Linked DNA regions of Macaca mulatta. The protein of the gene in region 2 binds, or shares a complex with, the protein of the main gene of each other region. Links are inferred from orthologs where the notes say so. Each region holds a gene or a part of one and is shown on either strand. Other genes may lie near its edges.

What was found. The genes of interacting proteins can lie anywhere in the genome.
Region 1: the proteins of RPTOR (region 2) and EIF4EBP1 are in contact, whole or in part, in a cryo-EM structure (PDB 6BCX), measured with the Homo sapiens proteins. The link is inferred for Macaca mulatta from reciprocal best matches to the Homo sapiens genes RPTOR and EIF4EBP1. Residues at the interface, in NP_065812.1 of Homo sapiens: Arg54, Arg305, Thr317, Asp321, Phe337, Arg338, Leu341, Ala344, Arg348, Leu437, Gln438, Leu440, Leu441, Ser442, Gln443, Arg446, Tyr475, Lys478, Leu479, Gln481; in NP_004086.1 of Homo sapiens: Glu111, Ser112, Gln113, Phe114, Glu115, Met116, Asp117, Ile118.

The regions. Positions count from the first base shown.
Region 1 is NC_133413.1:39,997,224-40,000,872, reverse strand, and holds part of EIF4EBP1 (eukaryotic translation initiation factor 4E-binding protein 1), read right to left. Parts: intron 307-3,649; coding exon 127-306; intron 1-126. UniProt on the Homo sapiens protein: Repressor of translation initiation that regulates EIF4E activity by preventing its assembly into the eIF4F complex: hypophosphorylated form competes with EIF4G1/EIF4G3 and strongly binds to EIF4E, leading to repress translation.
Region 2 is NC_133421.1:90,243,521-90,247,658, reverse strand, and holds the start of RPTOR (regulatory-associated protein of mTOR), read right to left. Parts: upstream 2,880-4,138; 5' UTR 2,102-2,879; coding exon 1,940-2,101; intron 1-1,939. UniProt on the Homo sapiens protein: Component of the mechanistic target of rapamycin complex 1 (mTORC1), an evolutionarily conserved central nutrient sensor that stimulates anabolic reactions and macromolecule biosynthesis to promote cellular biomass generation and growth.

The DNA.
Region 1 (3,649 bases), on a different chromosome or scaffold from region 2:
CTTAGAGGGTAGGGCAGAGTCCCTGTCATTTCTCCTCCCTGGAATTCACCCCAGTGGATGGACTCCAGGGTATTGCTAATACATTCCCTTTCCCAAGGTAGAGCCTGGCCAAGCCCCAACACTCACCGCCTGCCCGCTTATCTTCTGGGCTATTACGCAGGTGGCTCTGGCTGGCTTCCGTGGGGGGCTCATCACTGGAAGGGCTGGTGACCCCGGGAATGGCAGGCAGATCCTTCGGGGGTGTTTTGGTCACAGGTGAGTTCCGACACTCCATCAGGAATTTCCGGTCATAAATGATCCTGGTACCTAGAAGGGCACAGGGAGGTTGGTCAAGCCACCTGCAACCTCTTGCCTGCTGGTTTTTCCAATTTTTAAAGGTGTGGCTGCAGTAGAGGCAGCAGATTCTCCTGAAAAACCCAGAGGAGGCCGGGTGCGGTGGCTCATGCCTGTAATCCCGGCACTTTGGGAGACCAACGTGGGCGGATCACCTGAGGTCAGGAGTTTGAGAACAGCCTGGTCTACATGGTGAAACCCCGTCTCTACTAAAAATACAAAAATTGGCCAACGTGGTGGCGGAAGCCTGTAACGCCAGCTACTCAGGAGGCTGGGGCAGGAGAATCACTTGAACCTGGGAGGCAGAGGTTGCAGTGAGCTGATTGCACCACTGTACAGCAGCCTGGGTAACAGAACGAGACTCCTTTTCATAAAAAAAAAAAAAAAAAGCCAGATCAATGAGGCTTATTTGGGGGTCTGGCTGCCACTCAGAACTCCGTTACCTCCAAATGGCCCTGACTCCCCTTCACATGGAATGATCTAATGGAAGGGGTCTGCAGGCCACCGACTGCACCTGTGTCTTCCCAGGGCTCTGTGCACACTGTGCTCTGTCCCTAAAGCCCCTCAGCTCACTCACCTACCAGGGCTCAGTGTTAACTACCCATGACAATCACATACCATGGTGGAAAAAATGCATTTCTATTCATTATTCAGTCCTGTCCTTACAGCACTCCTGTGGGATAACCAGAATAGCCGCATTTTACAAATGACCAAACAGAAAATTAAGTGATTCAACCAGAGTAGTAAAAATAGTAACTTTTGCCGGGTGTGGTAGCTCATATCTGTAATCCCAGCACTTTGGGAGGCCAAGGTGGGAGGACCGCTTGAGCCCAGGAGCTTGAGACCAGCCTGGACAACTTAGACAGACCTCATCTCTACAAAAAAGTTAAAATGAGCTGGGCATGATGGTACGTGCCTGTAGTCCCAGCTACTCGGGAAGCTGAGGCGGGAGGATTGCTTGAGCCCAGGAGGTCCAGGCTGCAGTGAGACCCTATGTCAAAAAAAAAAAAAAAAAAGAGAAATGCCTGGGCTTTGCAGAGAAGAGCCAGAGGCAGGAGTGAAGGGTGGGCTCTCCTTGCCCCCAAAGGCTCTCTTGCTGAGCCTCTCTCCTTTGTGAGGTCCCCAGTGTGTCCTGCCAGTGTGTCACTGACTTTGGAATTCTCCTACCCCACCCGCCCAAGTAGCTGGGATTATAGGCGTGTGCCACCACGCCCAGCTAATTTTTTGTATCTTTAGTAGAGACGGGGTTTCACCATGTTGGCCAGGTTGGTCTCAAATTCTTGACCTCATGATCTGCCCACCTTGGCCTCCCAAAGTGCTAGGATTACAGGCGTGAGCCACCGTGCCCAGCCCCTTTGTATCTTTTTATAGCTACCTTCTATTTATGGCAAGTGAATCTGGTGTTCCACATATAGTAGTGATAGCAATTCCTTTTAATGTACAAATAATATAATACTATATTGTAGATTCTATAATAAAATAATGTAAGCTAAATTCAAAAGCTAAGGTGATATAAAGAAATGTTAAACATCTGTACAAGTGGAATGCAAGGTATAGTAATAATTGTGCAGATAAAATATGAATAACCCAAGTTTGGGAATCATGATTTAAGGACTTCAGGAATGCCCTTCCTTAGCAATAACCTTGAAATCTCTCCCTCACTTAGGGGCTATGATGAGTGGCATTCCAACAGCTGAGATTCATTTCTTACGCTTTATTTTACTTTTTTCATTTTTAATTTTTATGGATCCATAATAGTTGTACATATTGAAATTCATTTCTTGATCCTCAGCACTGGACTCTCTGTAAACTCCTGAAAGGCACGAATTTCCATCTTGGAGACTAAGTGCGAGTTCACGAAACGGGGCTCTGTGCTGAGGCGGACCTGAGATGCTGAAGGGCAGAGGAATGTAGAGAGATACCTAAAGAGAAACTTCACCTGCTGGCCGTGTTCCTCTAGTCTGGCTGCAGCCCCTCCAGGCAGTCACTTGTCTTACTCTCCTGTCCCCTTGCAGGAGAGGCAGCGATGCTGAAGCTGACAGCCCTGCTCATTGCCTGTGGGACTCCAGCACAGAGCTGTTTCTTAGGAGGAGGGGTGTAAAGGAAAGAACCAGGGTGCATTTGGGCTCCATTCCCAGTCAGCTGTGTGACCCTATGCGCGCTGCTCCTTGCACTCCCTGCTTTGGGCCTCCGTCTCCTCATCTGTAAAATAAAGACCCATACACCTTCTAGGTCTGAGTGGCTATGAGCCCAATAGATTACAAATGGAGGGCGGTGGTGCCCTCTTTTTGCAGGGCCAGGGCAACAGTGAGGGGAGGTAAGGGAAGACCAATTTCTTTTTTTTTTTTTTTTTTTTTTTTTTGAGACGGAGTCTCGCTCTGTCACCCAGGCTGGAGTGCAGTGGCCGGATCTCAGCTCACTGCAAGCTCCGCCTCCCGGGTTTATGCCATTCTCCTGCCTCAGCCTCCCGAGTAGCTGGGACTACAGGCGCCTGCCACCTCGCCCGGCTAAGTTTTTGTATTTTTAGTAGAGACGGTGTTTCACTGTGTTAGCCAGGATGGTCTCGATATCCTGACCTCGTGATCCGCCCGTCTCGGCCTCCCAAAGTGCTGGGATTACAGGCTTGAGCCACCGCGCCCGGCCTGGGAAGACCAATTTCTAACTCTCTTTTTTTAAAAGTGACCCAGATTTGTTTTGGTTCTAGAAGCCAGATGTGGCATTGCTCCACTCTGCAAGGCTTGAGGTTGTACAATCTCCCCTCCCCAGAGGGGAGGGAAGCCCAGAGACCACAGGGTCCAGGCAGCGGGGTGGGGACTCAGTGGACACATGGCTGGACATCCTGGCTCCAGATGGGACCACTTTTTTTCTGTTGTTTCTTAATCTTTGAGACTCGGCAAGAGTCCCCCCCTTTTTGTTTCTCCCCAACTTTGCTTTTTGTTTTGTTTGTTTTGAGATGGAGTCTTGCTCTGTCACCCAGGCTGGAATGCAGTGGCATGATCTTGGCTTACTGCAATCTCAGCCTCCTGGGTTCTAGCAATCCTCCCGCCTCAGTCTCCCCGGTGGCTGGGACAACAGGCATGTGCTATCACGCCCGGCTAATTTTTGTATTTTTTGGTAGAGATGGGGTTTCACCATGTTGGCCAAGCTGGTCTTGAACTCCTGACCTCAAGTGATCCACCGGCCTCAGCCTCCCGAAGTGCTGGGGTTTCAGGCATGAGCCACACTTTTTTTGTTCTTGTTGGTTTGTTTACCATAGAGTGAAACCCAAGAGTTAAGATTCAATACTCTCAAAGAAGAGCCCAGGGGCCAGCAACCA
Region 2 (4,138 bases):
ACTTATGCTACCTTCTCACTCTTAGTATCATTTGAGTTTGCAACTTCTGTCCTATAGGGTGTGTGAAACGGTCCATCAAGGTCTGACCTGAGGGAAGAGATGACAAGATTCCAAACTCCCACAAACTCAACTGAAGATGTTAGCTGCTGATTTTCTCCACTGAAAAACAGATACAGCAAACTTTCTCCCCAGCTGCTTTCTAAGCAACAATCTCAGTAGTTACTAAGAGTCACAGAACTTGTTTCTCTTAACAATCTGTGAAAAGCTTATTATGGAATGTTGATCATTCACAAATTAATGTTTTAATTAAAAGATCAAATATATACCCATTAATCAGTTTCGAACAGTTGGAACATAGGTTTAGGACAGCAGAGGGAACCACATTTCAAAAGAAAAAAAAAAACTGCCCTCTACACAGAATTTTTTTTAAAAAAAGTATTTTCACATATGTATAGCAACCACAAAAGCTTTTAACTATATAATTACTACTAAAGATGTCCATAAGATAGAATATACAACCTCCCCCAATGTCTAACTTATTTAACTCCTTAAACTGCTTTTCGATGAAACAAATTTTTCTAATCTTTTAGAAGTAAGCCAAATCAGTAACTAAAGTACTGCTTACTACTGACAGACTAGAGTTACCAGAAGTGTAATCTTTATTTATTTATTTATTTATTTTTGAGACAGAGTCTCATTCTGTCTCCTAGGCTAGAGTGTAATGGTACGATCTCAGGTCACTGCAACCCCTGCCTCCCAGGTTTAAGCGATTCTCCAGCCTCAGCTTCTCGAGTAGCTGGGATTACAGGCAGCTGCCATCAAGCCCGGCTAATATTGGTATTTTTAGTAGAGACAGGGTTTCACCATGTTGGCCAGGCTAGTCTCAAACTCCTGACCTCAGGTGATCCACCCGCCTTGGCCTCCCAAAGTGCTGGGATTACAGGTGTGAGCCACCGCGCCCAGCCCAGAAGTGTAATCTTATATATGTTCATCATCATATATGAAAAAACAATAATATTCCATAAACATATACATAAGCCTAAAGGAAATCAAACCTTGTAACACCAACTTCCTCTTTTATACCACTGAAACGTGCAAATAAATAAAAGCAGCCTGGAGGGAGAACATAACTTACCAAAAGACAAATTATAAGTGTGCATACATGAGAAGCAGTACCACCCTTTTGCTTTTGAGACCAGGAAATAGATGGTATCTTATGAAGGATAAATTCAACAAAATTCAGCTGTTTTCTTTCCTACCAGCTGCTTGTGAATCACTCTCCACACTCCAACACCATGAGGACAACCTGAAACCTGCAGTCAATGCCTCATACCCTAACTCACAATTAAAGAAATCCTGTCTCCAAGTTACAGCAACAGGACCCTACATAAAAGGAGGAAAGTCTAGCTTCAAGACAAATTGTTGAGAAGACTAGAATGAAGTTCACTGTAACTTTAAAATAACTTTGCACTAATTTGTTACTAGTTGAACATTTTCCAGTAATCTCGTTTCCTAGCATAGTATATCAGACTTCTGCACTTCACCCAGCTTGGAAATTTTACAAAGTAGACTAATTATGTGGGTATAAGCATTATATCGCACGTTGCCCTTCCTCTAAGTGTTAACAGAACAAAGTAGTATGCCGAAGAGCATGTAAATACTCGCAATGCTGTATTTCAAATTTGCTTAACTTTTATTATCTGAATCAGAACTTAGTTGGAATTGAATTAACACTACCCAGTGAATAACGACTAATTAAAACAGCCTTTCCCATTTTCAGCCAAAAACTGCAGTCTGAAATGGCTTTTGCTTTCTAATTGACTTACAACGTGTGGCTGGGGGGAAATGTCAGCGCTTTCCCAAGGACACTTTTCAGGCTGTAAACTTTCTTTGTTGGAGAAACTACCAAGTTCAAGGGGTGCCTTCAGAATCCACTTACCCGATCCTTCATCCTCCAGCTTTGAGCTAAGGATTTGGAGCCTTCAATTTTCTCACAGTGCCTCTTTTTCATAAAAGCCAAAGGTAGGTTCCAGTCTGTAAGATCAGCCTCATCTTCCTCCCCCAGGCCCAGAAGAGGCGACTGCAGCATTTCGGACTCCATCAGTGGGGGAGGGGGTGGGGGAGTCCTTGGCAGCAAGCGCTCAAGAACCTCCAGCCTTAAAAACTAGCGTGTACCAGAATTGGTGAAATAAGAAACAGAAAAACGGGGAATCGAAAAACAAATGGATGGAGAGTGCGGAGACCCTTACTCAGGCAAAAAGTCTGAGATCCTTATCTCTAACTCTGGGCGGGAAGTGGGGAGGTGGGGGCCGCTAGGAAATGGGGCAGCCCAAGAAGCTCCGCAGACACACACCAGCCCAAGTCCCAAGCCACTGGCTGCTCCTGGGGCTGCACGTTTCCAGAGGGGCTGCGAGCGGAGCTGTCAAAAGCGTAAGAGACTTCAGGCCTCACGATGACCCTGCTCTCGGCCTCCAACGCCTCAGCAGTTCCGAGGACAGGCAGGCCGCTCTTGGTGCCGGTTCGCCCACTGGGCCGAGGTCTCCGGCCAAGGGATCGGGTTCAAAGGGCCCTGGGTCTCCTCCAGCCACTCTCAGCCCTGCGGGTCCCGCACTCGTCTGAGCTGCCGCAACCAGAGCCAGGACCGGCCCATCGTGCTCGCCCGCACCCGGTTCCTCAACCTCAGGTCCGCGCGGCCTGGCTGGTCCTGGCCTTCAGCCCCGAGGCTCTCTCCTGCCTGAGAACGAGTCCTGAGAAACAGGCGACACGGAACCACGGAGAAAACGGACAATGAGGGCTTACTGGGTCAGGGGAGCTTTGCCCTCTGGTTTGGAGCTACAGGGAAACTCATCTCATCAGCACATCAAGGAGGACGCCATATTGCCAGGACCCAGAATGCACCGCGGCCTACGGCGTGGCCGACAGACCAAACCTCCTCAGAGCGTTCTCGCCGCGCCACCCAACAAGCAGTGAAGGAAAGGGAGTCCCTGACCCCATTACCTCGGTTACCGTAATTCCGTTTTCCCCAGTTAATCGCCATTTGTTCAGTAGAGGCGTGTTATTAAAGTCAGTCCTACAAATGAAACTGTCGGTTTAATTTATTTTTTCAAAAACATTGTTATTATAAATGAAGCTACATGCTCCTGAAATTAGAGGAATCAACCGCCTTGTTTCTTCCAGATTTTGAAAAAGCGGCAAAAGCTTCAGGAAAAAACACTGATAATATTAGAAAATATAGTACTTTTTTTTTTTTTTTTTAATGTAGTATCTTCCACAGTGTCAATCAGATTTTCTCTTTTTCGTAGAAAACCAAGTGAAAGGCTGGGCGCAGTGGCTCACGCCTGTAATCCCAACACTTTGGGAGGCTGAGGCAAGCAGATCACAAGGTCAAGAGATCGAGACCAGCCTGGCCAACATGGTGAAACCTCCGTCTCTACTAAAAATACAAAAATTATCTGTGCATGGTGGCGCACACCTGTAGTCCCACCTACTCGGAAGGCTGAGGTAGGAGAATCGCTTGAACCGGGGAGGCAGAGGTTGCAGTGAGCTAAGATCAGGCCACTGCACTCCAGCCTGGGAGACTGAGCAAGACTCTTCAGATGAAGAAGGGTCCGAAGCAAGATTCGATGAAAAAAAAAAATTCATCGAATACAATTCTTTGTTTAATCTGTTTCATTTGCTGAGCAGTTTATCCTTTGTAAATTTCTTTTCTCCTGTCTCAGCCTCGCGCACCACCACGCCCGGCTAATTTTTTGTGTTTTTAGTAGAGACGGGGTTTCACCGTGTCAGCCAGGATGGTCTCGATCTCCTGACCTCGTGATCCGCCCGCCTCAGCCTCCCAAAGTGCTGGGATTACGGGCGGATCACGAGGTCAGGAGATCGAGACCATCCTGGCTGACACGGTGAAACCCCGTCTCTACTAAAGAATACAAAAAATTAGCCGGACGTGGTGGCGGGCACCCGGAAGGCAGAGCTTGCAGTGAGCCGAGATTGCGCCACTGCACTCCAGCCTGGGCGACAGTGTGAGATTCCGTCTCAAAAAAGAAAGAAAGAAAAGAAAGAAATTCTAAGTGAGCACGTTGAAGTCCAAACCCACCAGGTGGTCAGAATCGCCCAGGAAACTAAAAATCAGGATGCCCAG